Zea mays: one gene and its partners. The protein of the gene in region 3 binds, or shares a complex with, the protein of the main gene of each other region. Links are inferred from orthologs where the notes say so. Each region holds a gene or a part of one and is shown on either strand. Other genes may lie near its edges.

Evidence for each region. Proteins that work in one complex are often made in the same cells at the same time.
Region 1: 50S ribosomal protein L15, chloroplastic-like precursor (region 3) and 50S ribosomal protein 6, chloroplastic-like share a complex: the UniProt entries of both Arabidopsis thaliana proteins name them as parts of the 50S ribosomal subunit. The link is inferred for Zea mays from reciprocal best matches to the Arabidopsis thaliana genes RPL15 and PSRP6.
Region 2: 50S ribosomal protein L15, chloroplastic-like precursor (region 3) and 50S ribosomal protein L27, chloroplastic share a complex: the UniProt entries of both Arabidopsis thaliana proteins name them as parts of the 50S ribosomal subunit. The link is inferred for Zea mays from reciprocal best matches to the Arabidopsis thaliana genes RPL15 and RPL27.

The regions. Positions count from the first base shown.
Region 1 is NC_050099.1:216,898,344-216,900,750, forward strand, and holds 50S ribosomal protein 6, chloroplastic-like, read right to left. Parts: upstream 1,093-2,407; 5' UTR 1,021-1,092; coding exon 655-1,020; 3' UTR 521-654; downstream 1-520.
Region 2 is NC_050103.1:167,360,481-167,364,152, forward strand, and holds 50S ribosomal protein L27, chloroplastic, read right to left. Parts: upstream 2,234-3,672; 5' UTR 2,172-2,233; coding exon 1,878-2,171; intron 1,037-1,877; coding exon 935-1,036; intron 826-934; coding exon 649-825; 3' UTR 521-648; downstream 1-520.
Region 3 is NC_050096.1:27,447,229-27,450,739, reverse strand, and holds 50S ribosomal protein L15, chloroplastic-like precursor, read right to left. Parts: upstream 2,242-3,511; 5' UTR 2,241-2,241; coding exon 1,811-2,240; intron 1,550-1,810; coding exon 1,398-1,549; intron 810-1,397; coding exon 588-809; 3' UTR 503-587; downstream 1-502.

The sequences.
Region 1 (2,407 bases), on a different chromosome or scaffold from region 3:
ACCCGCGGATATCAAATTCCACCATACTCATATCCAATGGATAATTATCCGCGGTTATTTACCCATACCCGTATCCATTGCCATCCCTAGGTAGGCAGGTAGCATATGGAATTCGCACAATCATGCTCCAACAAAAGCAACATTACAAACAACTAGGTTACTTCTAAAATTTCCTATCATTTGCAGTGTTCAATGGCTGTTCCTGCCATCTAAGCTGAGTTTACTGTTTACCGAACCTTCCCCAATATCAGGCAATTGTCCAAATCAAACAGAGCCAGCTCCTAAAGTCAAACAAGAGGCAGATGTCTTCGTTGGGCTGCTTGTTTTCCCCCCCTTTTGAAGACTATATTTGCGTAATCCATATCCCATCATAACTTAACTGGCAAACTATGGAGATGGAGTAGCTAATCACTCTGCAGTCTGCACTGCCACTGACGGCATGGAATAAGCGTTGCACACAGCATGCAACCAAGAAATCATCTAGCAACGCACTAAATTGGACGCGGTGACAGCCACAATCTGGACAGCAATGAAAGATTCTTAATTTATAATCACAAAATCTGGGCAGCCATTGTTATTATATAATAAATCTCAAAGAAAAACAGCTTATGCGGAGGTTCAAGGGAACAACTTTGGCGACACGCCGCGGCGGCCTCAGTCGGTGGCCGCGGCCACGTCGAGGACGAGAGTCGCGGCGGGTGCCGGGGCCTCCGCCTCCTCCACGTCCACCGTGGCGCCGGAGGCGACGAGCGTCCAGTCCGGCGGGAGCGGCGGCAGCGGCGGGTACTGCGTGGGGCGGCGCTTGATGTCCCACGGCTGCGTCTTCTTGGGCCGCGTCTTCATGTGGTGCTTGGTCCCCTTCTTCTGCGGCCGCGACGAGCACTCCACCGCCAGCGCCGCGCGCCCGCCGCCGTGGAGCGGGGAGAAGCCGACGGAGTAATGGCGGGCGTGCCTCGCTGGCGACGGGGCCGAGGCCGGCGGCACCACCGTGCCCGCCAGGAGTGCGGTGACAGGCGACATGCTCGCTGGTGCTGCGCTTTCGAGAGAGGCGGACGGGTAGGGTAGTAGTGTGGGTTGTGTTTGGGATAAGATGGGAGGAGGACTGTTTCGGATTGGGTTTTGTGATTGCGGGATTTGCTACGCTGAGCGAAATCTGGCCCACACTATGTGCGATCATCTGACCGCTCACTCATCGAGTGTTTTTCCTTTTTTATATCTCCACTTCTTTTAAAAAAAACTTGTAATTGTTTAGTCCCCTGCCCTCTTCTTATCATAAAATGCCATGTCACCTTTTTATATTATAAAATTCCGTGGTCTAAGATGTGCCGTTGATGAAGCTTCAACAAAACAAAATGAGGCTCACGGGTACATAATATATTTCTTTTGGTACAACGATCAGTTGTCTCCCGAATTTTGTTGAAAAATGTTTCGGCACAACTAGCTTGTACTTCTAAAGCTATCTCTAACTCATCTAGAGATGTTAATGGAGAATTCTCCATCGGGTTATAGCATCCCAAACTCATTCCTATCATATTTAGTCCATCCTCATACCCATTATGGGTGCAAAATTCATCTCATACTCATCCTCATTCGGGTTTTGGGTCCCCAATGGGTCCCCATCTCCAATTAACGCATGTTCAGGCACACCAATCCAGAAGGCGATTGGAGGGTATTAAATCCCCTCCTAGTCAATGGGAACCTCAAATCCCCATTGGGATTGGAGGGGATTGAGGTAGAAATAAACTAATTTTCTCTTCAATCCCCTTCAATCTTGAAGGGATTTGAGTTTCCAAACTAACCCTTAGTGCTACTTTGGGAACCTCAAATCCCCTTCAGGGTTGGAGGGGATTGGGGTGGAAATGAACTAATTTCCTCTCCAATCCCCTTCAATCCCGAAGAGGATGTGAGTTTCCAAACTAGCCAATAAGGGCTGATTTGGTGACCAGAGATTACGGCGGGATTTGAGAGAATTGAGGGGGAAATTAGTTCATTTCCCCTTCAATCCCCTCCAATCCTCCCGTGATCACCTTGTCACCAAATCAACCGAGTTGATTTGGTGACAAGGTGATCACGGGAGGATTGGAGGGGATTGAGGGGGAAATAAACTAATTTTCCCCTCAATCCCCTTCAATCCTCCCGGGATCCCGGGTCACCAAATCAGCCCTAAGAGGGGATTTAAACCCCTCCAATCCCCTTCTGGATTCGTGTAACCGAACAAGCCCTTAAGGGATAACTAGGTACTAACATGTAACACAAACTATCTAGATTTCAGACATCACCACATCGGCAAGTACTCATTAATGAACCATCATCCATTCATCCATCCATCAGAAAAGAAATAAGTACTTCAGGACCGATAGAAGAAATAGAGAAATGGAGTCTGCTCACATTTCTTGGTCACCATCTG
Region 2 (3,672 bases), on a different chromosome or scaffold from region 3:
TCCAAGATAATTATTGCATGTATGACATTGCATAACTTCATTAGAGACAGTGCTCTACACGATAGAGACTTTGATGAACTAGGACCTAATAGCCTTGGTCATGATGTATCTGTAGGTGAGAGTAGTAGTATCACATCTGATGAGTTAGACATGAGTGCATTTCGAGATGCAATTGCTAATGCATTAGTGCCGTAGTTAAATATGTAAATGTAACAGTAGTTATGTTGTAATGAACTCCACTAATTATATGTAATGACCTTTTGTTGGTTCGGTGTTAATGTGTATAGTTTCTTCAAACAGAATCTGCAATCTGAGAATCTGTGTATCCAAACACCTAGATTCTAACGAACAGCTTTTCCGCACAGCTGGCGAACCAAACACCTAAATTCTAACCACCAGCTTTTCAGAAAAGCTATTCAGAAAAAAGCCGAACCAAACACGCCCTACGTGGAGTGGTCTAGGAAGTTGGAATAGACCCCCACTGTGACTCTAAAGCACAACTACCCCACAAAAAGTACAAGTAGAACATATCCATTTATCTAAACAACACATGTAAATATGACCTTTATAGATCATGTGGTCTTACAATTAAGGAAGAAAAAGTGTAACAAGGGCTGTGAAAAAGAGAAACACCACACAGGAAACTTATCAGCAGTCCGCGCTGACCTCAGAGTTTTCATCAACAGCAGCTAGTACCAACTGAGGCTCAGCGGCGCCCTCCGCTCTCGCCTTCTTCCGTTCACGCCGCATGCGGAAGTACTCTCTCTTCCTTGCTCTGTAACTGTTTGGGTTTTCAGGCTCCTTCTCATATGGGTAAACACTAACCTATGAAAGGAGAGGTAGTGAGATGAGCATATATCTGGTGTGCAACCAGATCTCAGTCAGATGCAAGTAAAAGCAGATTTCAGTATGTAGTAACTAAGATACAGCTAACCTTTTTCTTGTCCGGCCCATACTTCTCAAACTTGACGAGTCCATCTATCAAAGAAAAGAGTGTGTGATCCTTGCCCATTCCAACGTTATTTCCAGGATAGACCTGAAATGTCCAAAAGATTTTATTTTAAGAAAAAACTTAAAAACGGCAAGGAACAGACAGACCACAAAACGGGGACCAAAACGAACTCTATACAAGGGACACGATGGTATAAACCATGTAGTATCCATAATATATAAACATCTTAAATATTTGAAGCGCGCTGGTAAGTAGGACGGACCAACCAAATCGTAAGACATGTAAGTTCATGAAATATCTTTTACAAGGATTGACCGACCATCTTACAGTATGCCTAATATTGAACAGCTATGTCTGACCATGTGTGCAGAGTAAGGTGGGTGTTTAGTTCAAAATTTGTTGGATTATATAACCTGGGCAGATTATAATCCCAAACAAACACCCCCCTAAGTCACCACCAGTTGGCTCCATAGGGCATTGAGGTTAGTACGTTACATTCCCCAGCGAGGTTTGTGTGTGCACTTTCCCCTCCCGTTATCTGATGTATGCAAGAAACTGCAATCTTTTCTTTCCTGCTTTTGCAGAGTGGTAAACTATGGAAAATGCAGATATGCACAATGGCAGCATACATTCCAACGTAACATGTGCAATGGCAAGCATTCTAGGTACATCGTAAGATTCTAGCATTCGCAGTCCGTAATCCGTATGAAGGTACTGGTCGGTGGTTAATATGCTTAACCTGCATCAGCAGCAGCAGCAGCAGGTGAGCAGCAAGCAAACGCTAGGCAGAGAGAGCTATGTCGCCCAGCAGAGCCAGTCAACGAGGTACCATAATCCACGCAAGCAAGAGCCTAGGCTGTCTTACTAACCCAAAGCAAACCAGTAACAGGTAAGGGAAGCGAAGGGAGCAAGAGGGGGGCAGGACCCTGGTGCCGCGCTGGCGGATGATGATGGCCCCGGGCTTGGCGAGCTGGTCGCCGTATATCTTGACCCCGAGGCGCTGGCCCTTGGAGTCGCGGCCGTTCTTGGTGCTCCCGGCCCCCTTCTTGTGCGCCATCTGGATGGTGAGCCGCCGCGCCGGCACCGGCACCGGCACGCCCGCTGCGCCGCCGACGGAGAGCGAGGCGCGGTCGCAGCGCGGGAAGGAGGAGGTGGTGGTGGTGGGCGCCAGGGAGAGGCCCTTGAAGGCCCCCGCCAGGGCGAACGCCATGGAGGCCATGGGCCGCTGGAGCGGAGGGAGGCAACGTGGCAGCTTGGGAAGAAGACGGGGGAAGAGAGCAGATGAGGCGGTGAGGTACAGAGGTGTGGGCGCTGGTGATAACGGAGTGGAGAAGGGATGCAGTCGGGAGACGTGGGCTCGTTCGTGGTTGGCCCAGTGTTTTGGGTCCTGGAGTTTTTGGGCCTTACTTGCAGATGGGCCTCGTGGTGCTTGCAGAGTGTCTGGCCGAATTGGAAGGGAGGGAAATGGTGTTATGCTCCTGGCCGGTTTTGGTCCTTGTAGTTTTAGGCAAGGCAACACAGGATTCACGAAGGAATCATTCAGGGGGAAAACAAAATGATCAGTGTGGTGGTGTTTGGTTCATGATATGTAACGTAAGTGGTAACGATAATGATTCACATTCAAGTACCAACGATAATAAGTCTGAATAGGCTCAGTTAGAGTTAAACAAACATGATATGTGAACCAAAAGGGCATCATCTTGTTCCTCCCTCCGGAGCTGCACAGAGAGACGCTGAATGGCCACAGCTAGCTAGCGTCGGCACGTGGGGAGATAGCCGGGGAAGCTAGCTAGAGTGACAGGCAGGCTTGTTGTGGAGCAAGAGCAAGAGCAAGAGAAGCAGTAGGCATGATGATGGGCTTGACCGGCGGCAACGGCAAAGCTGGAGCCGGAAGAAGAGGAGACGACCGACACATGGCATGATTAGGATCCTTGACGAAAGCGCGGGAGATGCAGAGCGTTTGGGGGTCCAAGTTAATCATGGCCCAGACCAGACCACACAAGCAAACAGGGCCCTACCACCACCACCACCACCCACTAATAATCTCGTGTTCTCCAGAGTCCAGACGCTCCATCCGCTCACTCGCTGCAGTTTGCACTGTTTACTCCTCCGTCTCCGTGTGCGTTAGATTTCCGGCGGCACTAGGGATGCCAGAAATTTCAAAGAGGCAGCAGCGCACGGCGCTCACAGGCTGCTGCTACTACTTGTACTAGCAGCAGTCACCGCACCGCACGCACCGTCAGCAGGGGGACGGAGAGATGACATTGACCGCCGGCGATCATTGCCTCGTCTGACGATTCGCCGGCGACACCCACACCCGCACCCCACCCCGGCCGGACCCGACCGACACAACGCATTTCCTCTATCTTTTTCCCACTCTTGTTTATTTGTGACAAATTATAGCGTGCTTGCGGTTGTAAAATGTTAGTCCATATCGATCTTTGCCACTGCACGGTGAATAGTTTGGAACTGAAAAGGACACGAAAAGGCCAAGCAAGCAGGCAGGCTGGGTCTAAACGAGAATGATGGGGAGGGTTAGATAAAACCCAAGATCATATCAGCCGTGACTGTAAAAAAAGAGAAGGATTGAGAGAGAGAGAGAGAGACGCCGCGACCGACCGGCCATGATGGTGATTGGTGAATGTGAATGTGAATGTGATCCCTTCCCCATGAGTGACAGGTTTTGGTACCTTTTTTTCTTCTGGAACTGCCGTTGCTCC
Region 3 (3,511 bases):
TGATAGAGGTCGATGCTTGTGTTGTGTCATTGTTTCGGGAGATGAAATAGAATGTACAAGGGAAATGTATTACTTGCAGAGCATCTCATTTCACCAATCAAAGGTTGTGTAGAATTGTGCATAATCTGGTTTAAAATAGATGGTCGTACTATTAAGATAGTCAACATTGTTTCCATATCTGTCATCTAGAGCCACTTGAGTGATCTAACTTTGCATATGTTGCTAGGATCAAGTGGTGGATAAAGTTTGAGATAAAAAACCTTTGAAAATGCTAACTAAGTCTTAAAGGTGTTGATCATCACGTGGGAAATCATTTGGAGTTAACTTTCTTTGTAAAAAAAGGTTTTCGATATTCTCCTAACCAAGGGTTGTGTCTTTGGATTTGAATTCTGGATTAGTCCATTTTGTTCTGAATCAATTATTAAAGTGGCTATCGTAGCCCTTTAAATAAAATTTCCGAAATGTCTAATATCATCGAAGTCAGAGTTTGGATGAAGAAGTTATGAACATTTTTAGTTGAGCCGGTGTGTCTTGCTCAGTAATAAGCATATGCTAAAAGCAAGAGAAGAGTACATCGCAAAGAAATTCTATGCAGAGCCGCTATCAGATTCACCAGCACCAGCTTTTTTCTTGGCAAAGTACTCTTCTGCTCGGGCTTGGTTCTTTAGATAATTTTGTGGAAGCCATTTCTTTCGTTTAGGTAACAGAGTTAGGGAACAACCAGCTGCCTCAAGCTTCTCTTTAGCTGAAGCTGAAAACGCTCCAGCCTTGATATTCAACTTAACTGATACATCCCCATCTCCTAAGATCTACAAACAGGTGAACAACAAGTGATCATGAAGGTAAGACAAAATATGATTGCAAAAACTAACAGGTGGCACATGCCACTTCATGTTTATGTTAGCAGATATGGAAGTTTGTAGTTACTCTAGAATATATTGTAAATCCAATGAACAACCTATGGGAACATTGCCAAATTGTACAAACAAAGCTATTCAACACTTCAAGTGGTGCTCATCTAACAGAAACAACCAAAAAAACTCGATCCCGTATTGCATGTTCTAATAGATGACTCTAACTCAAGTGGATAAACTTGGTACCTAACATTATCACAGGCTAATTCAGAATCGATACAACAACCTATAAGAAGTAAAAAAGTAAGAATACTGGCCACTCAATCTAACGACAAATCACTAAACACTTCGATTCTTGCTTCAAATCTGGGGTACAATAAGGTTGCCTTAAAGAGAACATGTCCTCACTGGCCAAGACCTAAGCCAAACCCTTGAATATGAAGTCATTCATATTTTCGAACGTGTCAAGTTCTATGTCACAAATACCAGTCCACAAAACAAGTTTTATTGAAACAACCAAAGGTTAATCATCAAAAGATTTACCTTCAGCGGCAGCTTCCTTTCCCTGCCTGATGGATTGATCAGACCCCGTGATTTCAGGCTTTCCAGTGATATTTCGTCACCATCTTTGAATCCGCCGCGCACTATGTCTTTTAAATTGAATGGCACATACTTCGGCAGGCCAATGTGCATCCCTGAAAAGCCATGGTGGAACTCACATCAGGCAACTTCTCAATCACTTGCATTTCTGCATTCCTTGTAACCTTGATGGGCTCTCACGAGTAACAACACAATGCATAGTTCAATTAGTTATGCGCCAGCCTGGTGTGAATTTAATCACGGATGGGCAATGCCGAAGTGGGGGTGTGAGACAAGCATCTGTCTGAACTAGAGCTTAGCGAGTTGCTTCGATTGAGTGCATTAGGGGAAGCTTCGGTTTAACTGAAGCAACTCACCGCCGGCAATGCCCCGTAGCTTGGGGAGACGGCGGTAGAGCGGCATCTGCCCTCCCTCGAACCCGCGCCGGACGCCGGGCCCCGAGCGCGATTTCTGCCCGCGCATACCGAACCCGCAGCTCGCGCCCTGGCCTGCAGCAATACCGCGTCCCTTACGCTTGGGCCGCCGGCGGGACCCCTTCTGGGGCCCCAAATTGTCGAGCCGGAACTTCTCCACTGGCGCTGCGGCGTCCGAGGCCTCGGCTGCCGCCGCGGCGCTGCTGCAGACGACGGTGACGCGACGGGGCGGGAGCGCGCGGAGCGGGAGGGCGCGGGGCGCGGCCCAGCGGCCGGCTAGGATTCCGGGACCAACGACGGAGGAGGAGGTGAAAGCCGGGATGTGGAGGAAGATGGCGGTGGGAGCGAGGGAGAGGAGGGTGATGGAAGCCATGACTGCCGTTGGAAGGGCTTGCGAATTGCGATTGTGGATAGAAGCGGATAATTGGGGTTTGGGAACGAGATAAGATGGAGACGATGGGCCTCTTCCACTCTTTATTTGGGCCTGTTTTTCAAACAGCCGTGGCCCATTCATGTCAATAATAATAATATACTCGAAAGTTGTATATAAAGAAGAAAAAATCGGTATTTTTCTGAATAGAAGATAGAACTATATCAAAACTTTGATACATTATATTCTCTAACGCTTAGACAAACATAGTTAGCAACTAAAATAATTGAGTAAGGGATAGAACCATACCTTTTTCACATCTTTTCAAAAAGATTTGCAATATGCACAAACTTAAGCAAAAAACTCTGTCCGGCAACCAAACACATCCTTAATTGCTAGAATGTGGGTAGAATAAGTTATTCAAGCAATGTTCAAAAAAGCGCGATTAAGCGCCCGCCTAATCACGATTAGACGCTAAGCGGCATGTTAGCGCTGCGCTTAGGCCCTAGGCGGTGGTTTCCGCGGTGGGCGCGTGTAGGCGGCGCGTGATTTGCGCTATGCGCGCTGAGGCGGAAAGGAGGCGTGTGGAAGCGGGGTTCGGCGCGCGGGGAAAAGGTGAGCACGGAAGCTGCTGCGCGGGAATAGAAAAAAGCTGCTGCGCGGGAATAGAAAGTGAATAGGAGGGAAAGAGGTGGGAGCTGCTGTTGCCCGGGAGAGAGTGAAACAGGCTGGGAGCTGCAGCTGCTGTTGCATGGAAGAGGAGGAAAACAGGGCCGCTGCCAGACTGGTCCTCTTCCCCAGCTGTCCAGGGCCGCCACCGTCGGTTCCTCTTCTCCTTCTGGTCAAGTCGTCCAGGCCACCGGGGTCAGCGCCTCTCTGCTCCTTTTCCCTAGCTATCCAGGCGTGCTCTCCCTCTCCCTCTGCTCTTGCTCTGCTCCTCCATCTCTTCTGTTCTATACTTTTATTCATTATTCCAGGTAAGTACCCCTAATTCCTAGCTAAAACTGTTTTTTCTGTGCAAATATATATATTATATTGTATATTCCTACAAACGCTTAAGCACGATTAATCTACGCCTAAGCTCTCTAGGCGCTAAACAGTGGCCTAACGCCCGCCTAACGCCTAGCGCTTATTGTAACCTTGTATTCAAGTACTTGATGCAGAATTTGAGGGGAGCACACATATCTTGTGTTATTTGAGACTAATGTTTTCTTTAGTGATCTTACATAATCTCAAGGTGGATAGGAGGATTGAGCAAGCTACAAGGGTGTAAT